Linked DNA regions of Saccharomyces cerevisiae S288C. The protein of the gene in region 4 binds, or shares a complex with, the protein of the main gene of each other region. Each region holds a gene or a part of one and is shown on either strand. Other genes may lie near its edges. The genes, in order: COX1, COX5A, COX4 and COX6. A codon is read from its position in the direction of its gene.

Evidence for each region.
Region 1: the proteins of COX6 (region 4) and COX1 are in contact, whole or in part, in a cryo-EM structure (PDB 8DH6), measured with the Saccharomyces cerevisiae proteins. Residues at the interface, in NP_011918.1 of Saccharomyces cerevisiae: Leu66 (codon at 1,977), Phe67 (codon at 1,974), Gln70 (codon at 1,965), Leu73 (codon at 1,956), Asn74 (codon at 1,953), Arg106 (codon at 1,857), Glu109 (codon at 1,848), Ala110 (codon at 1,845), Tyr113 (codon at 1,836); in NP_009305.1 of Saccharomyces cerevisiae: Asp496, Phe497, Val498, Glu499, Ser500, Ile503, Leu506, Asn507.
Region 2: the proteins of COX6 (region 4) and COX5A are in contact, whole or in part, in a cryo-EM structure (PDB 7Z10), measured with the Saccharomyces cerevisiae proteins. Residues at the interface, in NP_011918.1 of Saccharomyces cerevisiae: Gln70 (codon at 1,965), Ala95 (codon at 1,890), Arg96 (codon at 1,887), Asn99 (codon at 1,878), Asp100 (codon at 1,875), Leu101 (codon at 1,872), Pro102 (codon at 1,869), Thr103 (codon at 1,866), Ala104 (codon at 1,863), Ile105 (codon at 1,860), Arg106 (codon at 1,857), Leu135 (codon at 1,770), Gly136 (codon at 1,767), Val137 (codon at 1,764), Pro138 (codon at 1,761), Lys140 (codon at 1,755), Glu142 (codon at 1,749), Leu143 (codon at 1,746), Phe144 (codon at 1,743); in NP_014346.1 of Saccharomyces cerevisiae: Gln35 (codon at 3,305), Gln57 (codon at 3,371), Lys58 (codon at 3,374), Leu59 (codon at 3,377), Pro60 (codon at 3,380), Trp61 (codon at 3,383), Ala62 (codon at 3,386), Leu64 (codon at 3,392), Glu66 (codon at 3,398), Lys69 (codon at 3,407), Gln70 (codon at 3,410), Val72 (codon at 3,416), Trp73 (codon at 3,419), Ser76 (codon at 3,428), Tyr77 (codon at 3,431), Arg83 (codon at 3,449).
Region 3: the proteins of COX6 (region 4) and COX4 are in contact, whole or in part, in a cryo-EM structure (PDB 8DH6), measured with the Saccharomyces cerevisiae proteins. Residues at the interface, in NP_011918.1 of Saccharomyces cerevisiae: Tyr64 (codon at 1,983), Asp65 (codon at 1,980), Phe67 (codon at 1,974), Glu68 (codon at 1,971), Gln70 (codon at 1,965), Arg71 (codon at 1,962), Asn74 (codon at 1,953), Asn75 (codon at 1,950); in NP_011328.1 of Saccharomyces cerevisiae: Lys91 (codon at 2,129), Thr93 (codon at 2,135), Met94 (codon at 2,138), Arg133 (codon at 2,255), Trp135 (codon at 2,261), Glu136 (codon at 2,264), Cys137 (codon at 2,267), Gly138 (codon at 2,270), Val140 (codon at 2,276).

What each region holds. Positions count from the first base shown.
Region 1 is NC_001224.1:10,690-18,153, forward strand, and holds the start of COX1 (cytochrome c oxidase subunit 1), read left to right. Parts: upstream 1-3,128; coding exon 3,129-3,297; coding exon of another isoform or gene 3,298-5,633; intron 5,634-5,745; coding exon 5,746-5,781; coding exon of another isoform or gene 5,782-7,464. Other genes in the region: intron-encoded reverse transcriptase aI2, read left to right, coding at 3,129-3,297, 5,746-7,464; AI5_ALPHA (intron-encoded DNA endonuclease aI5 alpha), read left to right, coding at 3,129-3,297, 5,746-5,781; intron-encoded DNA endonuclease aI4, read left to right, coding at 3,129-3,297, 5,746-5,781; intron-encoded DNA endonuclease aI3, read left to right, coding at 3,129-3,297, 5,746-5,781; intron-encoded reverse transcriptase aI1, read left to right, coding at 3,129-5,633. UniProt on the Saccharomyces cerevisiae protein: Component of the cytochrome c oxidase, the last enzyme in the mitochondrial electron transport chain which drives oxidative phosphorylation.
Region 2 is NC_001146.8:528,523-533,489, forward strand, and holds COX5A (cytochrome c oxidase subunit Va), read left to right. Parts: upstream 1-3,202; coding exon 3,203-3,664; downstream 3,665-4,967. Other genes in the region: VAC7 (Vac7p), read left to right, coding at 1-1,061; tyrosine/serine/threonine protein phosphatase MSG5, read left to right, coding at 1,420-2,889; Golgi transport complex subunit COG5, read left to right, coding at 4,137-4,967. UniProt on the Saccharomyces cerevisiae protein: Component of the cytochrome c oxidase, the last enzyme in the mitochondrial electron transport chain which drives oxidative phosphorylation.
Region 3 is NC_001139.9:146,715-152,029, reverse strand, and holds COX4 (cytochrome c oxidase subunit IV), read left to right. Parts: upstream 1-1,858; coding exon 1,859-2,326; downstream 2,327-5,315. Other genes in the region: TPN1 (Tpn1p), read left to right, coding at 1-993; YGL188C-A (uncharacterized protein), read left to right, coding at 3,066-3,206; 40S ribosomal protein eS26 RPS26A, read left to right, coding at 3,442-3,801; protein phosphatase 2A regulatory subunit CDC55, read left to right, coding at 4,641-5,315. UniProt on the Saccharomyces cerevisiae protein: Component of the cytochrome c oxidase, the last enzyme in the mitochondrial electron transport chain which drives oxidative phosphorylation.
Region 4 is NC_001140.6:206,880-211,876, reverse strand, and holds COX6 (cytochrome c oxidase subunit VI), read right to left. Parts: upstream 2,173-4,997; coding exon 1,726-2,172; downstream 1-1,725. Other genes in the region: CIC1 (Cic1p), read right to left, coding at 1-1,029; YHR050W-A (uncharacterized protein), read right to left, coding at 2,232-2,402; divalent metal ion transporter SMF2, read right to left, coding at 2,574-4,223; FSH1 (putative serine hydrolase), read right to left, coding at 4,684-4,997. UniProt on the Saccharomyces cerevisiae protein: Component of the cytochrome c oxidase, the last enzyme in the mitochondrial electron transport chain which drives oxidative phosphorylation.

The DNA.
Region 1 (7,464 bases), on a different chromosome or scaffold from region 4:
TATAATTATTATTAAAATAATAATTTACTTCTTTTGATATAAAAATAAAATAATATAGTTCCGGGGCCCGGCCACGGGAGCCGGAACCCCGGAAGGAGATAAATATATTATATTTTTATTCCTACCTATTAAAGGTAAAGACTCGATTCTCATAATTAAATTTATATCCTTCGGCCGGATTAATTTATTTTATTTATATTTATATTTATAGTGAATACCTTTTTTAATATTTATTTTTAATATTTATTTTTAATATTTTATTTTTAATAAAATATAATCTTGTAAGTAAGAAAAGAATTTCGGTGATTGGAACCTTGAAAGGATAAATTTCTTATTTATTATAATATTTATATTAATAGTTCCGGGGCCCGGCCACGGGAGCCGGAACCCCGAAAGGAGTATTATTAAACATTTAATATATTATATTAATATTTAATTTAAATGATTAATATATTATTATAATAATATTTATTTTATATTAAAATATTATAATTAATATATATATATTTATTTTAATAATATTATTATTATTATTATTAAAATTATTATTTTTATAAATATATATATATATATATATATATTATTTTTATTCTTATATAAATTATATAAAAAAAATATATATAATATATAATTAATTAATATATATTATTTAAATTATATATTATTTAAAATACTTTTTATATTATATCTTCTTTAAATTAAAATATAATTATTATTTATATTATAATTATTTATGAAATATTATTATTAAAATAAAAAAGAGGTTTAGACTATATATTTATTATTTATAAACTTATTATATTATTTATTATTAATAGTTCCGGGGCCCGGCCACGGGAGCCGGAACCCCGAAAGGAGAAATAAATAAAATAAAAAATAATAAATATTAATATTATTAAATATTATTTATAATAAATATTAATATTATTAAATATTATTCATATTAATAAATTTTATTATTATTTGTAATATATTAAATATTAATAATATATATATTATTTATTATAATGAAAACCTATCCTATATTATCCTATCATATAATATCATATCATATTATATTATATCTTATTATATGATATATAAAGTATTCACTCTATATGAGGTTATGATTATTATATAAATCTTATTTTATTTTTATTTTTATTTGGACTAATAATAATTATAATAATAATTATTGATATGTTCTAATATTAATAAATACATATTTATATTATAATATAAATATTCATTTCTTACTAATTAATAAAAAGTTTTTATATTCATTATAATATAAATATATAAATATATATAAATATTTTAATAATTATAATTATATTAAGATATTATAAATATATATTTATTTTTTTTTATAAAATAAATAAATAAATAAATAATTAATATTTTTATATTATAACTTATTTTTATAATAATAATAAGTATTTTATTTTTTATTATATTATTATTTATATAATTATATATATATTAATTTCAATTTAATTAATTAATTAATTGGTATTTGGCATATAATATCAATTAATTGTAATTCTTATAAGAATTAATTAATTAATATGCTTTTTATATAATTTATACTTTTATATTTCTCCTTCCGGGGTTCCGGCTCCCGTGGCCGGGCCCCGGAACTATTATTATTATTTTTATTTATTTATTATTAAAATATAATAATAAATAGTCCGGCCCGCCCCGCGGGGCGGACGCCGGAGGAGAATTATATTTTTATATAATAATTTATATTTCTATATATATATATATATATTATATATAAATATTATTATATATATTTTTATATATATTATAATTATATTCATTAATATTTTATTATAGTGGTGGGGTCCCAATTATTATTTTCAATAATAATTTATCATGGGACCCGGATATCTTCTTGTTTTTATTTATTATTTTATTAAATTTATTTTAATTATTTATTTATAATTTATATTATACAATTTATTATTTCGTTAATACCTTTATTTATATTATATAATATATTATATTATTATAATATATTTATTGATTATATTAATACATTTAACTAATGTGTGCTCTATATTTATTGAATAGTTTGGTTCTTATCACCCACCCCCTCCCCCTATTACGTCTCCGAGGTCCCGGTTTCGTAAGAAACCGGGACTTATATATTTAATACTAAAAATATAACTACATTACTTTTTTAATATATATAACAATATATATATATATATATATTAATTATATAAAATATAATACTCTATATTAAATATTATTTTTATCAATATTTATTTATATATATAATAATAATAATAATAATCAATATTAATTATTTATATATATAAGATTAATATTATTTAATATATTATGAATAATTTAATTAATAAATCTTTAAATATTATCATAAAAATATAAATTAAATAATTTCTTATTTATAATAAAGAATAATAATATATATAAATATAATAAAGAATGTAAATAATATATATATAATATAATATAATATAAAAAATATATATATATATAAATATATATATAATATATAGATAATAATATTTTTATATAATTTATTTTATTATTAAGTAATAAATAATAAAAAAATCAATATATTAAATAATATATTTATATTAGTTCGGTTTAGTTGGTATTTTGTAATGAGTAAAAAGTAATATATAATATTAAATAATAAGTATTGATATAAGTAATAGATATAATAATAATATTATTAATATTTTATATAAATAATATTAATAATATAGATTATGAAAGAGAGTATTAATATCATTAAATATATATATATGTTATATAATTTAAATGATTTTAATATATATATATATATTATATTATAGATTATGATACATTTATATAAATAATATATATATAAAAATTAATTATACTATTACTTTATAATATAATAATATTTATTTATAAAGATATAAAAGAATTGTTTAAAGTTATAACTAAAATATTATATAGTATTCATTAATAATTAATATTATAAATTCAACTATTGTTATATTTATAAATAGAATAATATATTATTATCCTTTAAGATATAACAATAATTATTTAAATTAAATTAAATTAAATTTAATTAATTTTTTTTTTTAATGAATATAATAATAATAATATTATTAAAATTAATATATAAAAAAAAAGTAAAAATGGTACAAAGATGATTATATTCAACAAATGCAAAAGATATTGCAGTATTATATTTTATGTTAGCTATTTTTAGTGGTATGGCAGGAACAGCAATGTCTTTAATCATTAGATTAGAATTAGCTGCACCTGGTTCACAATATTTACATGGTAATTCACAATTATTTAATGGTGCGCCTCTCAGTGCGTATATTTCGTTGATGCGTCTAGCATTAGTATTATGAATCATCAATAGATACTTAAAACATATGACTAACTCAGTAGGGGCTAACTTTACGGGGACAATAGCATGTCATAAAACACCTATGATTAGTGTAGGTGGAGTTAAGTGTTACATGGTTAGGTTAACGAACTTCTTACAAGTCTTTATCAGGATTACAATTTCCTCTTATCATTTGGATATAGTAAAACAAGTTTGATTATTTTACGTTGAGGTAATCAGATTATGATTCATTGTTTTAGATAGCACAGGCAGTGTGAAAAAGATGAAGGACCTAAATAACACAAAAGGAAATACGAAAAGTGAGGGATCAACTGAAAGAGGAAACTCTGGAGTTGACAGAGGTATAGTAGTACCGAATACTCAAATAAAAATGAGATTTTTAAATCAAGTTAGATACTATTCAGTAAATAATAATTTAAAAATAGGGAAGGATACCAATATTGAGTTATCAAAAGATACAAGTACTTCGGACTTGTTAGAATTTGAGAAATTAGTAATAGATAATATAAATGAGGAAAATATAAATAATAATTTATTAAGTATTATAAAAAACGTAGATATATTAATATTAGCATATAATAGAATTAAGAGTAAACCTGGTAATATAACTCCAGGTACAACATTAGAAACATTAGATGGTATAAATATAATATATTTAAATAAATTATCAAATGAATTAGGAACAGGTAAATTCAAATTTAAACCCATGAGAATAGTTAATATTCCTAAACCTAAAGGTGGTATAAGACCTTTAAGTGTAGGTAATCCAAGAGATAAAATTGTACAAGAAGTTATAAGAATAATTTTAGATACAATTTTTGATAAAAAGATATCAACACATTCACATGGTTTTAGAAAGAATATAAGTTGTCAAACAGCAATTTGAGAAGTTAGAAATATATTTGGTGGAAGTAATTGATTTATTGAAGTAGACTTAAAAAAATGTTTTGATACAATTTCTCATGATTTAATTATTAAAGAATTAAAAAGATATATTTCAGATAAAGGTTTTATTGATTTAGTATATAAATTATTAAGAGCTGGTTATATTGATGAGAAAGGAACTTATCATAAACCTATATTAGGTTTACCTCAAGGATCATTAATTAGTCCTATCTTATGTAATATTGTAATAACATTGGTAGATAATTGATTAGAAGATTATATTAATTTATATAATAAAGGTAAAGTTAAAAAACAACATCCTACATATAAAAAATTATCAAGAATAATTGCAAAAGCTAAAATATTTTCGACAAGATTAAAATTACATAAAGAAAGAGCTAAAGGCCCACTATTTATTTATAATGATCCTAATTTCAAGAGAATAAAATACGTTAGATATGCAGATGATATTTTAATTGGGGTATTAGGTTCAAAAAATGATTGTAAAATAATCAAAAGAGATTTAAACAATTTTTTAAATTCATTAGGTTTAACTATAAATGAAGAAAAAACTTTAATTACTTGTGCAACTGAACTACCAGCAAGATTTTTAGGTTATAATATTTCAATTACACCTTTAAAAAGAATACCTACAGTTACTAAACTAATTAGAGGTAAACTTATTAGAAGTAGAAATACAACTAGACCTATTATTAATGCACCAATTAGAGATATTATCAATAAATTAGCTACTAATGGATATTGTAAGCATAATAAAAATGGTAGAATAGGAGTGCCTACAAGAGTAGGTAGATGACTATATGAAGAACCTAGAACAATTATTAATAATTATAAAGCGTTAGGTAGAGGTATCTTAAATTATTATAAATTAGCTACTAATTATAAAAGATTAAGAGAAAGAATCTATTACGTATTATATTATTCATGTGTATTAACTTTAGCTAGTAAATATAGATTAAAAACAATAAGTAAAACTATTAAAAAATTTGGTTATAATTTAAATATTATTGAAAATGATAAATTAATTGCCAATTTTCCAAGAAATACTTTTGATAATATCAAAAAAATTGAAAATCATGGTATATTTATATATATATCAGAAGCTAAAGTAACTGATCCTTTTGAATATATCGATTCAATTAAATATATATTACCTACAGCTAAAGCTAATTTTAATAAACCTTGTAGTATTTGTAATTCAACTATTGATGTAGAAATACATCATGTTAAACAATTACATAGAGGTATATTAAAAGCACTTAAAGATTATATTCTAGGTAGAATAATTACCATAAACAGAAAACAAATTCCATTATGTAAACAATGTCATATTAAAACACATAAAAATAAATTTAAAAATATAGGACCTGGTATATAAAATCTATTATTAATGATACTCAATATGGAAAGCCGTATGATGGGAAACTATCACGTACGGTTTGGGAAAGGCTCTTTAACACGTGGCAACATAGGTTAATTTGCTATTTCATTTTTAGTAGTTGGTCATGCTGTATTAATGATTTTCTGTGCGCCGTTTCGCTTAATTTATCACTGTATTGAAGTGTTAATTGATAAACATATCTCTGTTTATTCAATTAATGAAAACTTTACCGTATCATTTTGGTTCTGATTATTAGTAGTAACATACATAGTATTTAGATACGTAAACCATATGGCTTACCCAGTTGGGGCCAACTCAACGGGGACAATAGCATGCCATAAAAGCGCTGGAGTAAAACAGCCAGCGCAAGGTAAGAACTGTCCGATGGCTAGGTTAACGAATTCCTGTAAAGAATGTTTAGGGTTCTCATTAACTCCTTCCCACTTGGGGATTGTGATTCATGCTTATGTATTGGAAGAAGAGGTACACGAGTTAACCAAAAATGAATCATTAGCTTTAAGTAAAAGTTGACATTTGGAGGGCTGTACGAGTTCAAATGGAAAATTAAGAAATACGGGATTGTCCGAAAGGGGAAACCCTGGGGATAACGGAGTCTTCATAGTACCCAAATTTAATTTAAATAAAGTGAGATACTTTAGTACTTTATCTAAATTAAATGCAAGGAAGGAAGACAGTTTAGCGTATTTAACAAAGATTAATACTACGGATTTTTCCGAGTTAAATAAATTAATAGAAAATAATCATAATAAACTTGAAACCATTAATACTAGAATTTTAAAATTAATGTCAGATATTAGAATGTTATTAATTGCTTATAATAAAATTAAAAGTAAGAAAGGTAATATATCTAAAGGTTCTAATAATATTACCTTAGATGGGATTAATATTTCATATTTAAATAAATTATCTAAAGATATTAACACTAATATGTTTAAATTTTCTCCGGTTAGAAGAGTTGAAATTCCTAAAACATCTGGAGGATTTAGACCTTTAAGTGTTGGAAATCCTAGAGAAAAAATTGTACAAGAAAGTATGAGAATAATATTAGAAATTATCTATAATAATAGTTTCTCTTATTATTCTCATGGATTTAGACCTAACTTATCTTGTTTAACAGCTATTATTCAATGTAAAAATTATATGCAATACTGTAATTGATTTATTAAAGTAGATTTAAATAAATGCTTTGATACAATTCCACATAATATGTTAATTAATGTATTAAATGAGAGAATCAAAGATAAAGGTTTCATAGACTTATTATATAAATTATTAAGAGCTGGATATGTTGATAAAAATAATAATTATCATAATACAACTTTAGGAATTCCTCAAGGTAGTGTTGTCAGTCCTATTTTATGTAATATTTTTTTAGATAAATTAGATAAATATTTAGAAAATAAATTTGAGAATGAATTCAATACTGGAAATATGTCTAATAGAGGTAGAAATCCAATTTATAATAGTTTATCATCTAAAATTTATAGATGTAAATTATTATCTGAAAAATTAAAATTGATTAGATTAAGAGACCATTACCAAAGAAATATGGGATCTGATAAAAGTTTTAAAAGAGCTTATTTTGTTAGATATGCTGATGATATTATCATTGGTGTAATGGGTTCTCATAATGATTGTAAAAATATTTTAAACGATATTAATAACTTCTTAAAAGAAAATTTAGGTATGTCAATTAATATAGATAAATCCGTTATTAAACATTCTAAAGAAGGAGTTAGTTTTTTAGGGTATGATGTAAAAGTTACACCTTGAGAAAAAAGACCTTATAGAATGATTAAAAAAGGTG
Region 2 (4,967 bases), on a different chromosome or scaffold from region 4:
ACAGTTACTATGGCTCAGCATCCAACACGCACGAACTTCCATTACATGGAAGGATGCCTTCAAGATCAAATAATGATTACTACGATTTTATGGTTGGCAACAATACTGGCAATAACAACCAATTGAATGAATATACCCCCTTAAGAATGAAACGTGGTCAAAGACACCTATCAAGAACAAACAATAGCATAATGAATGGTAGCATCCATATGAATGGTAACGATGACGTTACCCATTCCAATATCAATAATAACGATATTGTTGGTTACTCACCGCACAACTTTTACTCAAGGAAGTCCCCATTTGTGAAAGTAAAGAATTTTCTTTATCTTGCATTTGTTATATCATCACTATTGATGACAGGATTCATTCTGGGATTTTTATTGGCCACTAATAAAGAACTACAAGATGTAGACGTGGTAGTGATGGATAATGTGATTTCAAGTTCGGACGAGTTGATCTTCGACATCACAGTAAGTGCTTTTAATCCAGGATTCTTCAGTATAAGCGTTTCCCAAGTCGATTTGGACATTTTTGCAAAAAGTTCTTACCTGAAGTGCGATTCTAATGGTGACTGTACAGTAATGGAACAGGAACGGAAAATTTTACAAATAACGACAAATCTTTCGTTAGTTGAAGAGAGTGCTAATAATGATATTAGTGGTGGGAACATAGAGACGGTATTACTAGGAACCGCTAAAAAACTAGAGACACCATTAAAGTTCCAGGGCGGCGCATTTAATAGGAACTACGATGTGTCAGTCTCGAGTGTCAAGCTTTTAAGTCCTGGGTCTCGTGAAGCCAAGCACGAAAACGACGATGATGACGATGATGATGGCGACGATGGTGACGATGAAAACAATACTAATGAAAGACAATACAAAAGCAAACCAAATGCTAGAGATGACAAAGAAGATGATACTAAAAAATGGAAGCTACTAATCAAGCATGATTACGAATTGATAGTCCGTGGAAGCATGAAGTATGAGGTGCCCTTTTTCAATACGCAAAAATCTACGGCTATTCAAAAGGATTCCATGGTCCATCCTGGTAAGAAGTGAGTGTTAAGAATGTAGCTTTTTCGTCAAAGCTGGGTATTTTTCTTTTTATAGCGCAGGAGCGGAAGGCAATTTCCAAAACAGGAATGTACTTTCCAAAAAAGGAAAATGTAGTTTGTTTTTTGATGTTTTTTTCTCTTTGACTATTTCAAATTTAGAAGTGAAAAAATACAAAAATGTTACATAGGATTCGATACAGTGTAATATATCATTATTATTACTTTTAAATAAAGCGTTTAGTAAACAAGAGTGAGGGTTATGCAACTCGTTTAGTAAACATTCTTTTTTTTTTCTTCATTTAAGTATAAGACAACAATAGTAGCGGAAGCGATAGTAATACATTTGGTAGCGATAAGTGCACATGCAATTTCACTCAGATAAGCAGCATTTGGACAGTAAAACCGACATCGATTTCAAGCCAAACTCACCGCGTTCCTTACAAAATAGGAATACCAAAAATTTATCTTTAGATATAGCAGCACTCCATCCATTAATGGAATTCTCATCGCCAAGCCAAGATGTGCCAGGTTCAGTAAAATTCCCATCGCCGACACCTTTGAATCTATTTATGAAGCCCAAACCTATTGTGTTGGAGAAATGTCCACCAAAAGTAAGTCCAAGGCCAACGCCACCATCGCTGTCGATGAGGCGAAGCGAGGCCTCTATATACACACTACCAACATCTTTGAAGAACCGAACTGTTTCTCCAAGCGTGTATACAAAATCATCCACAGTATCGTCTATCAGTAAGCTGTCATCATCATCACCGTTATCGTCATTTTCAGAAAAACCTCATCTGAATAGAGTCCATTCATTATCCGTGAAAACTAAAGACTTGAAGTTGAAGGGAATTAGAGGACGTTCTCAAACGATCTCAGGGTTAGAGACATCCACGCCAATTTCTAGTACTCGTGAAGGTACTTTAGATAGTACGGATGTCAACAGATTTTCTAACCAAAAGAATATGCAAACAACATTGATTTTCCCGGAGGAGGACTCGGATCTGAATATTGATATGGTGCATGCAGAGATTTATCAACGAACGGTTTATTTAGATGGACCATTGCTGGTACTGCCGCCTAATTTGTATCTATATTCAGAACCCAAACTAGAAGATATATTATCGTTTGATTTAGTCATTAATGTTGCCAAAGAAATACCGAACCTGGAGTTTTTAATACCGCCGGAAATGGCACATAAAATAAAATATTACCATATTGAATGGACACACACATCCAAGATCGTCAAGGACTTATCCCGATTGACACGCATTATACATACCGCTCATTCGCAAGGCAAGAAAATACTCGTACACTGTCAGTGTGGAGTATCAAGATCGGCGTCATTGATTGTGGCGTATATCATGCGATATTATGGCTTGAGTTTAAATGATGCATACAATAAGCTGAAAGGTGTTGCTAAGGATATAAGTCCAAACATGGGTCTCATCTTCCAACTTATGGAATGGGGAACCATGTTGTCCAAGAACTCACCGGGCGAAGAAGGAGAGACTGTTCACATGCCTGAGGAAGATGACATCGGAAACAACGAAGTTTCCTCGACTACGAAGTCCTACTCTTCTGCGTCCTTTAGAAGTTTTCCCATGGTAACGAATCTATCATCGTCGCCGAATGACAGTTCTGTCAATTCTTCGGAAGTAACGCCAAGAACTCCTGCTACGTTGACTGGAGCAAGGACCGCACTGGCCACAGAACGCGGGGAAGATGATGAGCACTGTAAAAGTTTGTCTCAACCCGCAGATTCACTGGAAGCTTCTGTGGACAACGAATCAATATCTACTGCCCCGGAACAGATGATGTTTCTTCCTTAAGGGACAGCATCTCCCAAAAGAATCTTTATGACTATCAGATCTGCAGGCAGACCGCCTCCCTACGCTTCTAAATAGAATGTACTTAGCACTTCTGCCTACATAGTAATTATTCATCATTGTAAGTGTCACATTGCAAAAATCGTCCAATAGACGTTTTCCTCGTTTGTGATTGGCCCTACGTTTTGCGCCGATACAAGCGGCGGCGAAAAGTTAAAAAGAACAATCAATTAAATAAGAACCATCAGTCCTCGTATTTTGTCTTCTGTTTGCAAGCAATGCACCAAACACAAGATCAACTAAGAACGCATCTACAATGTTACGTAACACTTTTACTAGAGCTGGTGGACTATCACGTATTACATCCGTAAGATTCGCTCAAACACATGCTCTTTCCAACGCTGCTGTAATGGATCTGCAATCCAGATGGGAGAACATGCCCTCCACTGAGCAGCAGGATATTGTCAGTAAGTTGAGTGAACGTCAAAAATTACCATGGGCACAGCTTACTGAGCCTGAAAAGCAAGCTGTGTGGTACATTTCTTACGGAGAATGGGGCCCAAGAAGACCTGTATTGAATAAGGGTGATTCCAGTTTTATTGCCAAAGGTGTTGCTGCAGGCCTACTATTTTCAGTGGGACTTTTTGCTGTCGTCAGGATGGCGGGTGGCCAAGACGCAAAGACCATGAATAAGGAGTGGCAGCTAAAGAGTGACGAATATTTGAAGTCGAAGAATGCTAATCCTTGGGGTGGTTATTCTCAGGTCCAATCTAAATGAACAGGCCAGAAATTTTGAAAGGAAATCAATAGGGGTTAACGATTGTCATGGTTTTTTCAGCTAGTCTGTGACCTGTACGAAAGTGAATATCTTATTACATTATAAGTGTATCCATGGGCATCCGCCCAATACAATGCCAACATATCAAACATAAAATTGGCTGATTGCCACTCTCACATTTTTTCTTTATTTATTTACTCAAATTTTGTAATTTTTTGTTAGACATATAATTTTATATCATTATTCTTATTATTCTTATATTTAAGGGAACCCCCCTGGAATGAAATAAGCTAATATAGTATGAGGGAATCCTGTATAAATGGGTTTACCTTGTTATTCTATGCCTCCCTTTCAAAGACGTATTTCTTAAAAACTTCTCCATTTGGTTGAATACTATGAAAAAAAAAAAATCAACTAGAATAGATATGGAAGATAAAAATGTGTAACAAAAAAGAAGAAAAGAGCTGGAGGTATGACAATAGCGCCAATGGCAAACGATTTAGAAGATTTTGAGTCTCTGCTGGAGCCTGATTTTGATGCTAAACAATTTGGTAATGACTTACTGAAGGCTACTAATAACAATGACACAACCATTTTAGACCTTAACACGCCTCTTAAAAAGCTAAACTATGATCTACATGAGATTGACTCTAGAATAGACCAATTGATGAATAGCAACCCATTGGAGATAATAGAGTTAATTTACAAAAATGAACACGTCAATTCAACCATAGTTGGTGAGTTGAAACCAAGTTTGGGATATATGAATATGTCGTACGATAGACTAAAGAATCAAGTTCTAGATCCTTATGAAAGAGCGAGGAAAGTCCAACTAGCGTTGAGTAAAGTTTACCAAACATCTTTTCTCTTGCGCGGAGCATTGCTTTATATTCATTTATCAAACAAATTAAACGCACTGTCTAAAACAGCCCAACTAAGCACATCAACAGCTATTAATTTAGCCTCCTTACACTACCAACTTGAAATTACTTTGGAAGAAAATAAAAATCTAAAATCCTTGCGGAAAATTAAACAATTAGATCAGGACATTGTTTCCCCCAACAAAAGAGAGTTAATAACATTTTTGTCTTTACAAATGTGTAAAGAGTGCTTGAACTCTATTAAAATCAAATCGAACAAAGAAATAATATCTCAGCTGGCCTACTCCTTATATCTACTTTCATCTCAAGAATTCGAGTCTGCAATAAACAAGATTGTACTATCTAATGTTACAATGAGCTCACAAATCCTATCAAAAATTTTAAATTCTATCAGGATGTTTCCTGATGCGTTCAATGAAGTT
Region 3 (5,315 bases), on a different chromosome or scaffold from region 4:
TTCGTCAATGCATACGTTTCAAAGGGAAATTTGGACTCTTCCACCCGAAAGGGCAACTGGATGAGTTTTTTTTCATTATGCTATAGTATTACGGCTACTTGGGGGTCTATTACAGCAGACTATTATATATTGTTCCCAGAAGATACACCATATATTCAAATTTTTTGCCTAACGTTTTTTGGAACATTTTTGCCTACCTGTTTCGTCGGAATCTTAGGTCTCTTACTAGCTTCTGTTGCCATGTCGTATAAGCCTTGGTCAGTCGAGTACGATTCCCATGGAATGGGTGGTCTACTTTGGGCAGGTTTTCAGCGTTGGAACGGCTTCGGAAAGTTCTGCGTGGTAGTACTGGTATTCAGTTTGGTATCCAACAACATCATCAATACGTATTCGGCAGCATTCTCCATCCAACTTTCTAGTGTGTTTTGTGCAAAAATCCCTCGCTGGTTCTGGTCTATTGTTTGTACTATAATTTGTTTGGTATGCGCATTAATAGGTCGTAATCATTTTAGTACTATTTTGGGAAATTTCCTACCAATGATAGGCTACTGGATTAGCATGTACTTTATCTTATTATTCGAAGAGAATTTAGTATTCAGAAGGTTTTTCTTACATTTGTACACCAAAGAGTTTCCTACAGTTACAGGAGAAATAAATGGACCGGAACTTGTTGGATCTTCAAAAGAAGTGGAGAAAGATGCAGTTACTAATATCCATTTGTTAAAAAGAAAACATAAGGTGACTAAACATCGTTACAATTGGGACAAATGGGAAGATTATGAGGTTTTAACGCACGGTTATGCAGCAACATTTGCGTTTATTGTAGGAGTTGCTGGTGTGGTAGTTGGTATGGCGCAAGCCTATTGGATTGGCCCAATTGCTGCCAAATTTGGTGAATATGGTGGTGATGTCGCAATGTGGTTAAGTATGGCGTTCTCAGGTGTTGTATACCCTCCTTGTAGATACTTAGAGCTACGTAAATTTGGTCGTTAATTGAAATGACATAAGTATATATTAAAACTACGGTGCAGCGGCAAACTTTAGTTTAGATAATATTGGCAGGTAGATTCATGGTATGTTAAATTACGCTCAGGGAGGATATTTTTTTGTACACATTATCTTTTCACATGAAAATCTAAGCCTGGTGGACAATTGAAATCATCGAGTGATATACTGACACTTTGAACAGTAGCACAAATCGTTTAATTTGCTGTCACGATCTAAGTTTTCTGTCAGCTGACTGTCCACCAATAAGATCAGCGGATTCCAAAGGCGTCCTTCGAAAAAGCGATATCTCCCATCTTGGTTAGTAGCAAATAAAGGGAAGAGAAAATAAGACACACTCAAGGATAAAATACTTCGCTTCTTCCAAGTATAAACACAGGAAAGAAAGATATACGAAGATTAGAATTTTTTTCATACTTTTTACAAAACATTTTTTTGTACTTAGGCACGCTAATTGCGTAAAAATTAGCATAAACAGGAAATAAGATTATTTTGAAATGTATGTTATAATCCTCTTATTGAAAAATACATGAGATGTAGGAGAAGAACTACCAGGAAAGAAGATATTTAACAGATCGAACGAAACGGAAAAGAACTAAGAGAAAACAAATCTGGATTTGACTTTAAGAAAAAATTTATTTGCAAGTTTAACTCGTTCCCTGCTTTTCTATTTGGCTTGAGACGATAATTGCATAATTGTCCAAATTGTCCATCATATAATGAAGAATTCGATGCGAAATATTCCCTGTCACTTTCCTTTAGTCAACGTATTCTTCTCCCTGAAGAAACAGTATACTAACAATACTCACCCATTTCGATTTTGATGTTGCCATACAAATAGATAACAAGCACAATGCTTTCACTACGTCAATCTATAAGATTTTTCAAGCCAGCCACAAGAACTTTGTGTAGCTCTAGATATCTGCTTCAGCAAAAACCCGTGGTGAAAACTGCCCAAAACTTAGCAGAAGTTAATGGTCCAGAAACTTTGATTGGTCCTGGTGCTAAAGAGGGTACCGTTCCAACAGACCTAGATCAAGAAACTGGTTTAGCTAGGTTAGAATTATTGGGTAAATTAGAGGGTATCGATGTTTTCGACACCAAACCATTAGATTCGTCCAGGAAGGGTACCATGAAAGATCCGATCATCATTGAATCTTATGATGATTATCGTTATGTCGGTTGTACGGGTTCTCCCGCTGGTTCACATACTATTATGTGGTTAAAACCAACTGTTAACGAAGTCGCCAGATGCTGGGAATGTGGTTCTGTTTACAAACTAAACCCTGTTGGTGTTCCAAATGATGACCACCATCACTAATCTTATCATTCAAGTTGCCCTTCTGTTTCTCTTTTACTTTTTACCTTCTTCTTTATTTATATTTTTTTTTTTGGAAACCTAGCGAATATTCTTACCAGGTCTGAGCTTTTACACACGTCATGTTAACAAAGTTCCACAAGAAAGTTCTTTGCAGGAAGGTTAAGGCGAACGCTTTGCTCTATCTATAATGAAGAGCCAAAAAATACATAACCAAAAAGATCGAGAAAAGGTCGAGATATATTTTTATTTAAAAATTCTTATTAATATTAGTACTATTCATGTCATAACTGATTACTATTTCTATCTCTGTCAGAGATGGCTAGCTAGAGGTTGTTGCGAAGTTACTTCCAAAAGATTCTAGACTGTGCTTACAGCATCCATACACCCACCCATACATACTGATTTCTTTTTTTAAAGACGTCGATTTTTCGAAAAAAGTAAATTCTCGGCACAGGGAGTTGAATTGAACTTCCCTGCCCCGACGGTAAGCAGCTTACCGGTATTGCTTCGTTCTCCTTGGGAGATGTTCTCGGCTCTGGAAGGAAAAAACCTTCGTGGGGGGAGGGCTCATATCCAGTAACATAGGCGGAACTCGAAGTGTCAGCTTACACCGCTTCGTTCTCATTGAGTGTTGAGGGATTACTTGGTATTTGAAATACCTACTAGATTTAATGTTCGTTATAGTAAATGATTTAATTTGTTCGCTATTACAGATAAAAGAACCATAGTCTTAAGTAGTATGTTAACGACACAAAAGTGTGAAAGTAGAGAAGGGAAGAACGATGAGATCTTTGAATTGGGAGAAAGTAATAGTGACAAGATATTATTAAAACATGGCAAATGTAACTTGTTTTCTGAAAGGAAACCAGTTAATCACTAGAAGTGTGCCAATCATGAGTTCACACTAACTAAAGAAAAAGAAGGAAGTCGCCCATCGTATGCAATGTACTTATTATTGAAGAATATTGTACCGAGAAAATTTCAAATGTTACGTAAATATCTCCTTCCCTTTTTGCCACGATCATTTTAAAAAAATTGAGAAGTTACTAACTAATTATTTTAACTCTTTGCAAACCTGCAATACTCGTGATGAATATTTAATTAGATCATTCAAAATGCCAAAGAAGAGAGCTTCCAACGGTAGAAACAAGAAAGGTAGAGGTCACGTCAAACCAGTCAGATGTGTCAACTGTTCCAAGTCTATTCCAAAGGATAAGGCTATCAAGAGAATGGCTATCAGAAACATTGTTGAAGCCGCTGCCGTCAGAGATTTGTCCGAAGCTTCTGTCTACCCTGAATACGCTTTGCCAAAGACTTACAACAAGTTACACTACTGTGTTTCTTGTGCTATTCACGCCAGAATTGTCAGAGTCAGATCCAGAGAAGACAGAAAGAACAGAGCTCCACCTCAAAGACCAAGATTCAACAGAGAAAACAAGGTTTCCCCTGCTGATGCCGCCAAGAAGGCTTTATAACTTGATTAATATAGGTGAAACATAAGTAAATTTTTCTACTATTTCTAATCAATAAAAAATAACCATTACAATAGTTTTCTATTAAATATGTTAATGTTTCAAGTATGTTCAACATCAAATATTACTATCGTCACCTTCCACGAATATAATTTGATACGAAGTATAATTTTTTTGATTTTTTTTTCGCCTCCCTTTCTTCCCTTTAATGAGATATTGAAAAAAACTGTCTGAAGTTAATTATTAACTATGAGCGGAATGCTATCTGTATATATTGCATTGGGTTAGACAATAATCGTTTTACTCAGATTTATATCAGATAGGAAAACGACCAGTAACTATTTCTATTCCGGCACGGCATAAACGTTTTTTTTTTGAGACAATTGGCATATACTCCCCCCGCGCACGTCAATAGATCCTTAACTAAGTAGATTTTTTTTGTTTTTTTCCTTCCTTTTTTCTCTTTTCCATCCAATTTTGCCTAACATTTCCCGTCAAAGATAAAGGGAGTTTGCACAAGACAAGACTATTACGTTAGAGAACTTTCCACGAAGAGACTGGAAGAATTGAAAATTGAATATACAAACGCATTCTAGAAGAATTCGATTACGTCAATTAGGCTCTCTTCTATATTTTAGTTCACCCTTTTTTCGTCCTGTTTCGATTTTTATTCCTATCAGAGGGTGAATAAGGCAGCTTAATACGATTACCCCCACTCCACCAACATATTAAGAAAGGGAAAACTAGTGTTTCTATAAACTGTAAACCTCATAAAATCTAGCCAACATATCGAGGTCAAACTGGAGAGATCTTACGCATAAAGAAATATAATATAGCGCACAATGGCACAAAACAATTTTGATTTTAAATTCAGCCAATGTTTTGGTGATAAAGCAGATATTGTGGTGACAGAGGCGGATCTAATTACAGCTGTAGAATTTGACTATACTGGAAATTATCTGGCCACTGGTGATAAAGGTGGCCGTGTGGTACTTTTTGAAAGAAGTAATAGTAGACATTGCGAATATAAGTTTTTAACAGAGTTTCAAAGTCATGACGCAGAATTTGATTATTTAAAATCCTTAGAAATTGAAGAGAAGATAAATGAAATCAAATGGTTACGACCAACTCAAAGATCACACTTTCTTTTGAGCACAAATGATAAAACTATAAAACTTTGGAAAGTTTATGAGAAAAATATAAAATTGGTAAGCCAGAACAACTTAACAGAAGGGGTTACGTTTGCGAAAAAAGGCAAGCCCGATAACCATAACAGTAGAGGAGGCTCCGTGAGGGCTGTATTATCTTTACAATCGCTGAAACTGCCTCAATTATCACAGCATGACAAAATCATTGCTGCCACCCCAAAGCGTATATATAGTAATGCACATACCTATCACATTAATTCGATATCGTTGAATTCTGATCAGGAAACATTTTTAAGTGCTGACGACTTGAGAATCAATTTATGGAATCTGGACATACCAGATCAGAGCTTCAACATCGTAGATATCAAG
Region 4 (4,997 bases):
ACCCAATTCGGAAGGATTGGCGATTTCCATCAAACCCTTGTTGAAGGTAGACAAATGAACTTGTACACCATCAATGGTGACCATGTCATCTTCGTGGGTTTCTTCGATTTTGTCCTTTTTAGCTTCAAGTTCATCAAGAACGTCCTGGTTATAGTATAATGGCAATACGGGCGACCTATTGGTCTTGATAAAAATGGATCTGATTTGGTATGCTTTGATTAACTGTTCAGAAATTAATTCAACGTTATCTACAAACTCTTCTGGCCTTAACCATTCTAAATTACCCAAATGGACATTCAACGTGGTACCTCTTGGAAGTTTAACGGGCAACTGATTCATGTAAACCTTTTTGATATTGTTCGTCAAAGTGGTCAAGGAAAATTCCTTATTTGCATGTGTTCTAATTGATATAGGAGTAGTTTCTACTTTGTTGTAGGCTTTGCCTCCCATAAGTTTTGGCAAAGATGTAACTATACTGTCGTCAGCCAAAATCAAAGAAAACTGAGATATAAAAGCGTTTCTAGCCTCATATGCCTTGTAAACGGTCTTTAAGTCTTTCCCGCAAATGATTTCATCAACCTTGATTCCTTCTGAATCTAATTGATCAAATAAATCATCTTCTGAAACTTTCTTAATATCAGAATCCTTCAAAATTAATAAAACTTTGAAATCCTTAACCGCTGTTGCACTGGCTTCTTTCCAAGGCTTGTAAAACGAATGTTTGACATTTAGTAATTTCAATTTGAATGATTTGGAAGTACCGGTGAATGATTTATTATTTACTACGATTAATTGCAGATCTTTCTTCAATTCTTCTTCATCATCTTCCAATAGGTTTTTCTTACCGTTATTTCCTTCTTCATTATTTTCATCTTGTGGCTTGGAAGTGAATTTTATAAGCTCGTTGACAGCTTTAATAACTCTTTCCCTAGGAATGGCTGTGGAAGATTTCTTTTCAATAACCTTCTTCTTTTCTTTGCTTGGTGTACTTACAGGCGTAGATTTCTTTGAGTTACTCTTTTTAGCCATTTTATACTTTATAGTCTGGAACGTAGGTTTATCTGCCTGCTGTCTAATATTTCTTATAAAACAGACACTATTCTTTATGCAGTATACAAACGCTTTTTGTTACTTTTCAAAATTTGCGATGAGCTCCAGTGGAAAAATTTTTTTCAGGAAATTGTCTTTAATTTTTTTAGTATGAAGTGACATCAACTTCACATTTATTGACGCAACGGTGAAGCACAGAATAGAATAGTAATTCTTTAATGGTATATTCTAGGTTTTTGTTTTTTATATAGTTATTTATTGTTTTATTATTTTTCCCATTCTTCTTTCCTGAAATAGAACACAAAAAAGCTACTAACAAAGGATATTAAAGGTAATCTGTGACCAGCCCTCATTACCAAAAATAAAGTTTGTTCAAGTAATAGAGTAGAGAAAACAAAGTGGAAATCATAATGGTTAAATTTAAATATTTTTCTTTTACTTTTCTTATTTCACCTCTTGTGATCTTATCGTTGATTTTGATATATTAGTTTCTGAGTGGATGAATATCCATAAAGGGTAAAACAAATAATAAGGTAAAAGGGAAGAAAAAAAAAAAATAAAAACTAAAATCGTTTTACAAAATAAATACGAATCTTATTTCAAATTGAGGAATTTTCCACAAATAAAAAAAGGACAACAAATTACAGACGTTGTGTGGTAGCTTTTTCCTTATTATTAAGAAGAGCTTGGAAATAGCTCTTCCTTTAAGGGAACGCCCAATTCTTGTCTGACATCCTTCAATTCATCCAAGTAGGCCTTGTATTGGTCTTCATTCTCCACCTTGTATTTCAAAGCCTCAAATACTCTAATTGCGGTAGGTAAGTCATTGACTCTTCTGGCAGCCCTCAAAGCTTTTTCAATAACAGCAGGAGCAGGAACTAAATCATAGGAAAAACAGTTGTTGAGCACTCTTTGCACTTCAAACAAATCATAGGCTTCATCAAACTCCTTTTCGTATCTTGCGGTGAATTCCTCAAAGGTTTCTTCATCATGTGCGTCAGAATACTTCCTACTTTGAATAAACGTATTTTTAGTCAATCTAGTTGCATGATAAGCACCAGGTCTGGCTCTCAATAAAGTTCTATTTATAACTGGATTTCTGAATATGGCCCTTGATAACATTGTTGTATATTTATTAGTTTATGTGTCAAATACAATTGTTCGGCTGTTTATCTCCGCTACTAAGTCTCAGAAGTGATACAATTTTTCAAATTGTAATAATAAATAAGTGTGCTAAAATGTGGATGAAATGTAAAGAAATGAGGTAACCTTGAGATCTGGCACCTTGATAAGCAAGAGCAATTGTTGATCTTTATTAATGCTTTGACCGGACCAATTAGGTCCCTTTTCATAGGGAGATTCAAAGAAAGCTGTAAGCGGCGGAAATAACGCGCGGGGCCCTGATTGGCTCGTATGGAGCGATACGGCCATCAGTATAGCCTAACACCAACTTTTTGATTGGAATTTTCTGTTATTATTCTTGGATAAAATGTATACTTATACTAGTCTAAAGAATTGTTATATTAGAGGTGTACTTCTTTGCCCGTAGTAAAGCCCAGTAACATATAAAAGTTCAGTCCGGAGATAATCAACCATACTATGATTGCGAGCACGGTGACGATCATTCCATTGCTCATGTCTTTGTATTCTGGAGCAGGAGAAACTAAGCTGCGCTCCTGTGAGCTGCTGCCTATGCCCATTTCTTCGAGCTCAATGGTCTCATCATCTTCGGTTCGGTCGGCCACGGGTTTTTTGTCTGTAGTTCTTGAAAGTTCTTTGGTACGGTTAAGCTGTACACGCATAATCTTCTTGCTTGAAGTGAAGTAAAGTAAAGGTGCAGAAACAAAAGGCAGCAAGAGAGAAAGTACCACTTGGGAAGCATTTAGTGCACCAGAGAGGCCGCTACGTCCAGCTACAAGCACTAAAATCAAACAAGGCGTGATGGCTACCGCTCTTGTGGCGGATCTTCTCAATGCCGGAGAAACAGTCCAATTTAAGAACCCTTCACTAACCATTTGTCCACTCAACGTACACACGATACCGGCACTCTGTCCTGAAAACAACAATGCCAGCACGAATACCGTTCCCGCTCCCTTGGAAAGAGTACTACAGAGTAAGTTGTAAATAGAAAATAAGTCAGCTTCCTCAGCATTTTGAGTGGACCCGTATAGTGTAGCGCCAGACACGATAAGAATGGCACAATTGACAAATAATGCCACCGTGAACAGCGAGATCAGTAATTCCGTTATAGTAAAGTGCAGAGTTTCACTGATGGCCTCATAGGATGGCCTGTAATTATCGTGATTGTTATCCATATCATTCGCGTCTGGCAAGTAATGTCCGTTTTTGATATCATACTCTCTTAATCTTGGTTGAACCACACCTGACCCCAAATATAATGAATGAGGCATTACCGTGGCGCCCAGAATTGCCAGACTTAAGTATAACCCATCACCTTCAAAAACGGCTTTACTGGGTAAGAACCCAGAAAATATTTCTTTGGCAGGTCCCAGTTTGGCATAAAACAGTTCAACAGTAAAGCAAACTACGGTAAGAACCACCAATAAAGAAACAAAAGCTTCAAATATTCTGATACCCTTCATGGAACCGTTAGGTTTGTAAGCTAGCAGAACAATTAAAACGTCTACCACAGTAAGTATCACACCTAGGGCGAGAGGTATATGGAAAAGGATATTCAAAGAAATAGCGGTTCCTACCACTTCTGCCAGATCTGTGGCAATAATTGCCATCTCCGCCAGAATATAAAGAGTAATGTTAAGTCCAAAGGGCAAATGTTTCTTACAATTTTGTGCCAGATCTAGGCCAGTGACAGCACCCAATCTGGCGCAGAGGTACTGCCAAAAAGCAGCCATGAAATTAGAAACTAAGACAGAAAATAAAAGCTTGTACCGATGAGCAGAACCCGCTGCTACAGCTGTACTATAGTTACCAGGATCCATGTACGATACAGATACCATCAAACCAGGACCGATGAACCTAGCATATTTTCTCAATGTTCCGATCATGCTCTGGGATGTTGAGTTTGGCTGCAAAGTTGTTCTTCGACGCGACTCATGAGTGGTATTCACGTCGGCATACGCATCGTTGACACTATCATTATTTGTTTGGGATTCATCGCTCCATTGAATAGGTTCATATTCTTGGGACGTCATCAAACATAAACGCTATACGGAAAATTAGTGGTTAAATGGCAATAGAGATGTGCTAATATTAGTATCAAAACAAATAGTTGTTGAAGAGGGTTTTCTAAACGGTTAAACGCGTTTGATGGTTAAATGACTAGAAGCAAAAGGAGACTGATTCTGAAATTTAATATGATTTCTTTTTTTTCTGCTGTTTCTCTTCTGCATTATTTTCTTCCTTCGAGAAAGAGTATAAGTATGTTTAAAAAGGTCTTCGTAAGCCACGCTAAAGCACCCCGGGTGGATTTTTCGCGCCGGGCGGGGTTAGCAGCACGCAGGATGGAAGAGAAGAGAAAGGATGCTACAAACTTGTGGTTCATTCTATACAAAGTACTTATATGTATATATACATACTCGATCAGCATTTCACTCCACACACCCTGCGTGTGATAGTAAAAAGCTAGAAAGCAGGTAAGCAACAACCTACGATTTATTCAGAAGCTTCTTGTAAGGAAGAGGTTATTTGTTCAACAATTGGTCTGATAATGTCCTTCTTGTTTGGAACCATATGTCCACCAGGGTGTTCGTAAGCCAACACCTTTTCCTTATTACCATTTTGCGCCTTCAAATAAATATCGTACAGGTACTTGGATCTGACGGATGGGACGGCTTGGTCAGAAGCACCATAGATGAAGATCATCTTGGTCTTCATGTCTGGTTTTACCGCAAATGAGTCTCTGAATTTTTCGGTTATTCTCAATTCTCCAGGATGTTCTGGGTCTGGCTCGGTGAAGGAATAGCCGG